2 linked regions of the Lepisosteus oculatus genome follow. The protein of the gene in region 1 purifies or fractionates together with the protein of each later gene. This does not show direct contact. Links are inferred from orthologs where the notes say so. Each region holds a gene or a part of one and is shown on either strand. Other genes may lie near its edges.

Region 1 (3,748 bases):
AGGGCCTCGCTCAGGGGCCCCAACGGAGTAGGATTCCTCTGCTGGCCCGTGGGATTTGAACTGGCAACCTCCCGGCCACAGGCACAGATCCTGAGCTGCAGAGCCGCCACTACGTCCCCAACTCTTGTTCAGTGTTGCGAGACTGCTCCTGACTGCGAGAGCGTCCGAAGGGGTTGGCCGCCGGAAAAATGCGGCTATCAGGCCCATCCGGCCCTATGTGCTAGTTAGCAGTTAATCGATCCCACGATCTCATCCTGTGCTTGCTTGAAAGAAGTTAATCGGCTTCAACAGCATGGCTGGGTAACCTGTTCCCCACTCCCGCCACCCTCTGTGTAAAGAAGAGCCTCCTGTCCCGAATGGAGGAGCTCACCCAGCTGTGTCTGGAGAGAAGCACGGGTATGGGCTTCAATAACATGGCAGGGCCGCTTGTTCCACACCCCCACCACCCTTAGTGTAAAGAACTGCCTTGTGTGCTCGGGAGGCTAGAACGAGTGTTCAATGGCTTTAAACAGCTGGAGCAATTTCATTGTGACCTCTGAAACAGCTGGCCTGATCAATGTGATCAATGCAGCAGTTCAGAGTGCCTTTGAAAAGAAAATACAGACATCCTCTAACTTTTAAGGAGCATGGCTAGACATCACTGATTTCATTGAACTGACTCACTCAATGGATCAAAACCCACGTCTGTTCTAAGTCTTTAGAAAGTGTCGATTTAATTAATCTCTCAGAGTGCTGATAGATTTTGGCTCTCCAGAACATGGCCTGGCCGTGTATACAATATGAAAAGTGCATATAGTGTATACAGTGTACATGTACTAAAAAGTGTTAGCTTCAGAGCCGAATGTTAATCATGTGCGACGTTCAGGAGTTTCAGTTTTCCTTTCCCGGGCTAAAACGAAAGCGTGCTAGCTTTTGTTTTGTCACGACCGGGAGGCAATTTAAAAATCTGTCCGCCCCGGCAGGTAGCCGCCACCGCCACCCAGGATTGGCTGGTGACGATAACGTGGTTTAAAAAAAAAAACAAACAAACCTCCCCGGACTACAACTCCCACACTGCATCGCGGTAGCAGCAGGAAGCGGGGCAAGAGCGAAGCTCCGAGAGGCGCAGAGATTGCAAGTTTTTTTTTTTATGTCGTACCCTACAGGGGTTATACCTTGTTAAAACTGATGGGTGAGTATTGAATATACCTCAGTGCGGGATGAAACGGCGCCGTCTGGTAAATTCACTTGAGGATAAGGCATGCACGGTGCGGAAACGAAAGAGCTGTTCCCTGTTTTATTTATTTTGCGCTACGGACAAATAAAGAGTTGTGCAATGAAGTTCTGTCTAGCTCTTTTCCTACCAAGCAGTGCTTTTTTTTTTTAATTTGAACATTTTGAAAATTGCGTGGGCTCTTTTGTGCTTCACGGGGGGTTTTTGCAGCGTGATGCAAGCTGCACCGTGGGCTTTTAAGGTTTGCAGGTAACGTGCGACGCTTTTTCAGTCCGGCGCAACCTTGTGTGTGTTAACGAAACGCATCGCTCGGGCTGTACCTGCGACGTGGCATCATTGATCGGGATTTTACGGTGCGGGATTTTATATTCCTGAGCGACGGGTCGCAGAGACGTAGCTAACTTCTCTTCTTGTCTGACAGCGGTGTGATGGGTCAGCCCGGGTGATTATGTACGTGCCGAAGAAAAGAAAGGCGAACGGACGCTGGATTTGATATTAAAAACAGGTTGGTCACCTCACGCCGTCCGAAAACACCGCTCTCGTCAGATGTCGAATCAGCTCAAAAAAGTTTGGGTCCTTATCTTCCCAAACGCCTTTTTTACCGGTGCTGTGCTTTGTGGACTGTTTGAAGGAGAACCACGTTACGATGCACGTAAAGTTCAGACGCTTTCTGTGTTGAAGATACCCAAAGCTCTTCCTTAAGTTCCTTTTTCATTCCGTTGTTCGGGGTGTTTCTCAGAAGATCTCGTTTGTGATGTTGCTTGCGAAGTCGTGTTTCCCCGTCGTTATGGCTTAAAAAAAAATGTGTCGGGCTTAAATCCCTTATGTCTCTGAATATGTGTCGCCGCCTTCTTCATCTCGGCTGCTTCTGGATTAATGACCTTCATAGTCTCTAAATAGGTCTTCTCGGCTTCTCGAGGTGTCACATGTTCGTATGGGGAATAATGTTTCCATTTACTGCTTTCCCAGCAAACCGCAGAACTAACGGCCCCCACAGACGGGAAACATCTGGCCAAGAACAACTGGAGTCTCTCAAGAGAGACTGTGAGCTCACTGCCAACCTTACTGCCCTTCCAAGAAACTGGCCAGCTCCTGATGGGGGTCCCTGCAGATCGCTGCAAGGCAAAAGATGCTCGCAGAGTGCATTAGAAAATGGATCAGTCCAGTGGGATTCATCTGCCTAAGAATAGTTACTATACTGAGAGGAGGCCATGAGACCATCTAATCTGATTAGTAACAAGGAGCTGATTGAATGTCACTTAACGACCTTTGCTGGGCAGCCTGTTCCCCACTCCCACCACCCTTTGTGTAAAGAAGCCCCCTCCTGTCCGGACTGGAGCCTCTCATCCAGCTGTGTCTTGACAGCAGCGAGGGTGTTGTTGGCTTCAACAACGTGGCTGGGCAGCTCGTTCCCCACTCCCACCACCCTCTGTGTAATGAAGAGCCCCCCCTTGTCCTGACTGGAGGAGCTCACCCAGCTGTGTCTGGAGAGAAGCCAGGGTATCGGCTTCAAGAGTGCAGCTGGGCAGCTTGTTCCACTCTCCTGCCACCCTTTGCGTAAAGACGTGCCTCCTGTCCTGACTGGAGGAGCTCATCCAGCTGTGTCTGGAGAGAAGCCAGGATATCGGCTTCAACCACAGGGCTGGGCAGCTCGTTCCCCACCCCCACCACCCTCTGTGTACAGAAGAGCCTCCTGTCCTGACTGGAGGAGCTCACCCAGCTGTGTCTGGAGAGAAGCCAGGATATCGGCTTCAACCACAGGGCTGGGCAGCTCGTTCCCCACCCCCACCACCCTCTGTGTACAGAAGAGCCTCCTGTCCTGACTGGAGGAGCTCACCCAGCTGTGTCTGGAGAGAAGCCAGGGTATCGGCTTCAACCACAGGGCTGGGCAGCTCGTTCCCCACCCCCACCACCCTCTGTGTACAGAAGAGCCTCCTGTCCTGACTGGAGGAGCTCACCCAGCTGTGTCTGGAGAGAAGCCAGGGTATCGGCTTCAACCACAGGGCTGGGCAGCCTGTTCCCCACCCCTGCAAACTCCCTGAAGCAATGCCACTTTCTAAAGGAAACTTGATTTTTGTCCTTTTTAGTCAAAGAAAAACCAGAAGCCGGTTCTGCTCCTGGAGATTTGTGAGCTTTAAGATCCAGCCTGTAAGTATCATCTCTCATTTTCGTGAGCCTACCTTCCCCGATCCCGCCACCTCTGACTCGCCTGCTGTTCCCTGTAGACGGGTGGTGCCCCCCCCTCCCGACCCCAGACTCCCGTGATGACACCCCTTTGCTGTGGTCTGCTGTCACAGTTCACCCACCACCACCTGACTGCCTTCGTCCTCACCTTCTTTAGGTAAACTCGTCTCCGTCACTGTGGGCTCGGCTGCAGGGCGTACCCCCCTCTCTCCTCCCCCCCCCCCCCCGTCCGGCCTGAAACGTCTCGACCCCTGCTGATCTTTCTTTTTTTTTTTTTACCTCTGTATGGGTCTTCTCTAAGTGATCTGGTTTCGTCCCACAATCCAGAGACATGCTGGTAGGTTATATGGC
Region 2 (3,748 bases), on another chromosome or scaffold:
CTCCAGCTGCCCCAGTTTCCACCTACAGTCCAAACACATGTAGTACAGTATGTAGTAGGTTCACTGGCTTTTGGGACAACAGGCACTGGTGTGAGTGTGTGTGTCTGCACTGCACTGGACTAGTATCCCATCCAGGGTGTTTCCTGCCTTGTGCCCATTGCTTGCCAGGATAGGATCCAGCTCCCCCCGTAATCCTGTACTGGATAAAGTGATTAGAAGATGGATGGGTGGATAACCTGTCTTCAAAGATCAGTAAGTTAACAGGACGTGCCACGGTGCCAGATAATAATTATAATTGCTTACACTTATATAGCACTTTTCCTGACAATCCACTCCACAAGTGCTTTACAGGTAATAGGGACTCCCCTCCACCACCATCAATGTGCAGCATCCACCTGGATGATGTGACGGCAGCCATAGTGGACCAGTACACTCACCACACACCTGCTATCAGTGGGGGGGAGAACAGAGGAATGAAGCCAATTCATAGATGGGGATTTAGGAGGCCATGATCGGTAAGGGCCAATGGAAAATTTAGCCAGGACGCTGGGGTTACACCCCTACTCTTTTCGAGAGATGCCCTGGGACCACAGAACATCAGGACCTCAGTTTTACGTCTCATCCGAAGGACGGCACCTTTTTTACAGTATAGTGCCCCCGTCACTATACTGGGGCATTAGAACCCACAGAGACCGCAGGGTGAGCGTCCCCTGCTGGCCCCACTAACACCTTTTCCAGCAGCAACCTTAGTTTTTCCCAGGAGGTCTCCAGGTACTGACCAGGCTCACACCTGCTGAGATTCAGTGGGTTGCCAGTTGGGAGGTCCAGGGTGACATGGCTGCTGGTGATACAACTTATATTTTCCTCCTAGGAAATTCTTTGTGAAATGAAGGAGGACCAGACAGTCTATGCTTCACACCAGCCGCCACACTCCTTACCCGATAATGGGGCTGGGCAAAGCTTGCTTCTGCAGACAGCAGCGGCCCTCCCTCTCAAGGCTGCTGTTCGACCGGCAGAGATCGCCCACTGCTGTGCCATTCCGCAGATCCCCCTCACACCGGCTACACACCTATCACACAGGCAAAGACAACAGGAACCCACCATCTTTATGGCGCAATTGAAATAAGAACATCAGAAAGGTCACAGACAAGAGGAGACCATTCGGCCGATCCAGCCCCTTTGGTGATTAGCAGTTGATCGATCCAAGGATCTCATCCAGAGGTTTTTTGAAAGACATCGGATTCAAGGCTTCCACTGTATGGCCAGGTGGGTTGTCCCATACTCCCACAGTTCTTAAATGAAGAAAGGTAAAGAGGTGTCTCCTGTTCTTGGTTTTAAACGCACTTGTCTTAAATGCGCAATGCGCTTCCATGCAGTTTCCAGCTGTGTCCTCTAGTTTGTGTTTCAGTGTTTAAATTGTGGTTTGAACTTGTTCCTTTTAAAAGCACTGCCAGTGGATTGAACAAAACACTTTTTAAAATATTACAACCACCTTACCAGCCTCACAATTCAAAATTAATAATGAGCAGTTTTTGACTCACCTAATTACAGCTCTCCTTTCCTGACCAATATAGAAATTTAAAAGCAAACGTTTTAGTACTGAACAAAATGGGATTATCTGAACTACTCTTGTAGGTGGTAACACACAAAACCTATCTGGCAAGTAGCAGCAAGAAAGCTCTCAGCACCCTTCAAGTTCCTTATTTGTGGCTGAAGTTCTGGTTGCATCTCATAATTCTGTTATCTCCGAGATTTTAGTCACCAATATTTTTTAACAAAAGGCACAACACTTTGTTTTGCTCAAGGAAGCTGTCATAAACACATTTTGCAGTATTGTAGCTATATTATCATATATATAATATATATTATCATATATACAGTACATATATCAATGTATATGTCGTATAATGTAATTGTATTATACGACATCAACGTCGTTTGTAATGACATTTAACATTACCATCGTTAAAAGCAAACCTTATACATAGCGCCTTTAATCATAGCATAATCCCAAAACATACGATTAAGATAATCATAATTACATACACATTACGTTACGATAGGCTTCCAAATTACGAGTACCGTACAGATTTATTTCAGATTTTTGAAAATAGTGAAGTATCATTACGTTTCAACAAGCATAACCATATCGAAAATATTTGTATTCTTTTCTGACCTTGTACACAGTTTGCGAATTGCCAGGAACAGCACAAATAGGAAAAAGAAGTACTATAGTACCAACTAGAAACACCCGGCGAGCTCCTTTACCCATCTCTTACTGTAGAGATAGTCCGGGTCACAAGATATATTCGGGAATCACGTGATTTTTGGTTCCGCAGTTCTGCACAAACTCTGCTGCGATCGGCGTTTTTCTGCCAGGGCTCCTGCGTGACGCAACAAACCCCACGTACAGGATTTTTTTGCAGATTCTGCGCAGCTCAGCGCAGTTTTTGCAAACGATGGCAGAAGACGGCAGCTGTGAATTTAAGGTGGTACTCCGGTATAGAAACCCAAAGCCTCTTCTGGAGCAACAATGCGTACAATGCTAGTGTATTTAACTGCCTGAGAATAACGCTGGCAATGGTATTGTGAATTAACTGGACGACGCAGTGGTCAAAAATAATCTGGTTGATTGAACCATTTTAGCCAGCAGCCATATCACTCTGCAACTCCCAACTGGCAGCCCACTGAAGCTAAGCAGGTGTGAGCCTGGTCAGTACCTGGTTGGGGGGGCCTCCTGGGAAAAACTAAGGTTGCTGCTGGAAGAGGTGTTAGTGGGGCCAGCAGGGGGTGCTCACCCTGTGGTCCATTTCGGTCCTTATGCCCCAGTATAGTGACAGGGACACTATACTGTAAACAGGCACTGTCTTTTGGAAGAGACGTGAAACCGAGGTCCTGACTCTGTGGTCATTAAAAACCCAGGGCATTTCGTGAAAAGAGTAGGGGTGTAACCCCGGCATCCTGGCCAAATTTCCCATTGGCCCTTACCAATAATGGCCTCCTAATAATCCCCATCTATGAATTGGCTTCATTACTCTGCTCTCCTCCCCACTGATAGCTGATGTGTTCTGGCGCACTATGGCTGCCGTCGCATCATCTAGGTGGGTGGTGCACATTGGTGGTGGTGGAAGGGAGTCCCCATTACCACTCTTTGAGTGGAGTGTCCAGAAAAGCGCTAGATAAGTGTAAGCAATTATTATTATTTCATCGTTATTTTTGTTTTAATTCAATATTTTACTCTGGCCAAAATGGCAAATGACAGTTTTAATGAGGTTTGTCGTTTGCTATTATGCCGTGCAATATATACGCTGGAAAAACAGCAGCCTTTCACTAGCGGCGTATTATGAAACATCTGATATTGCATCCACAAGCTGTAGGACAGACCGCTTAAGAGTCGTTTTTACAAAGCGGTTTCCCACAGATAAGATAAGATCACTTTATTAGCCATACACAATTTCTTGCATTAGGAATTTGTCTTTTCACATACCCCAACTTCCTCTCCATGAGACACACAGATAGGGAGAGAAGCTTGGGTTAGAGTACAGTCTCAGTCATTTATACAGCACCCCGGAGCAGCTGGAGTTAAGGGCCTTGCTCAGAGGCCCAACAGAGTTGGATTCCTCTGCCAGCTGTGGGATTTGAACCAGTAACCTTCCAGCCAGAGATGCAGATCCTTAGCTACAGAGCCACCACTCTGCCCATGTCTATATCTAAAGCTCTGCAAACCTTCTTCAGGCAGAAATATTGA

What was found. Proteins that work in one complex are often made in the same cells at the same time.
Region 2: the proteins of slc37a3 (region 1) and atraid purify together in Homo sapiens (affinity purification with mass spectrometry; 3 studies listed by BioGRID and IntAct, counting the BioPlex papers as one, with this or other methods). This does not show direct contact. The link is inferred for Lepisosteus oculatus from reciprocal best matches to the Homo sapiens genes SLC37A3 and ATRAID.

Annotation. Positions count from the first base shown.
Region 1 is NC_090702.1:2,560,190-2,563,937, reverse strand, and holds the start of slc37a3 (sugar phosphate exchanger 3), read left to right. Parts: upstream 1-1,065; 5' UTR 1,066-1,171; intron 1,172-1,442; exon of another isoform or gene 1,443-1,462; intron 1,463-1,634; 5' UTR 1,635-1,718; intron 1,719-3,300; 5' UTR 3,301-3,362; intron 3,363-3,438; exon of another isoform or gene 3,439-3,442; 5' UTR 3,443-3,477; coding exon 3,478-3,554; intron 3,555-3,748. UniProt on the Homo sapiens protein: Unlike the other SLC37 members, lacks glucose-6-phosphate antiporter activity.
Region 2 is NC_090697.1:17,176,087-17,179,834, reverse strand, and holds the start of atraid (all-trans retinoic acid-induced differentiation factor), read right to left. Parts: upstream 2,302-3,748; 5' UTR 2,273-2,301; coding exon 2,177-2,272; intron 1,070-2,176; coding exon 939-1,069; intron 1-938. UniProt on the Homo sapiens protein: Promotes osteoblast cell differentiation and terminal mineralization. Plays a role in inducing the cell cycle arrest via inhibiting CCND1 expression in all-trans-retinoic acid (ATRA) signal pathway.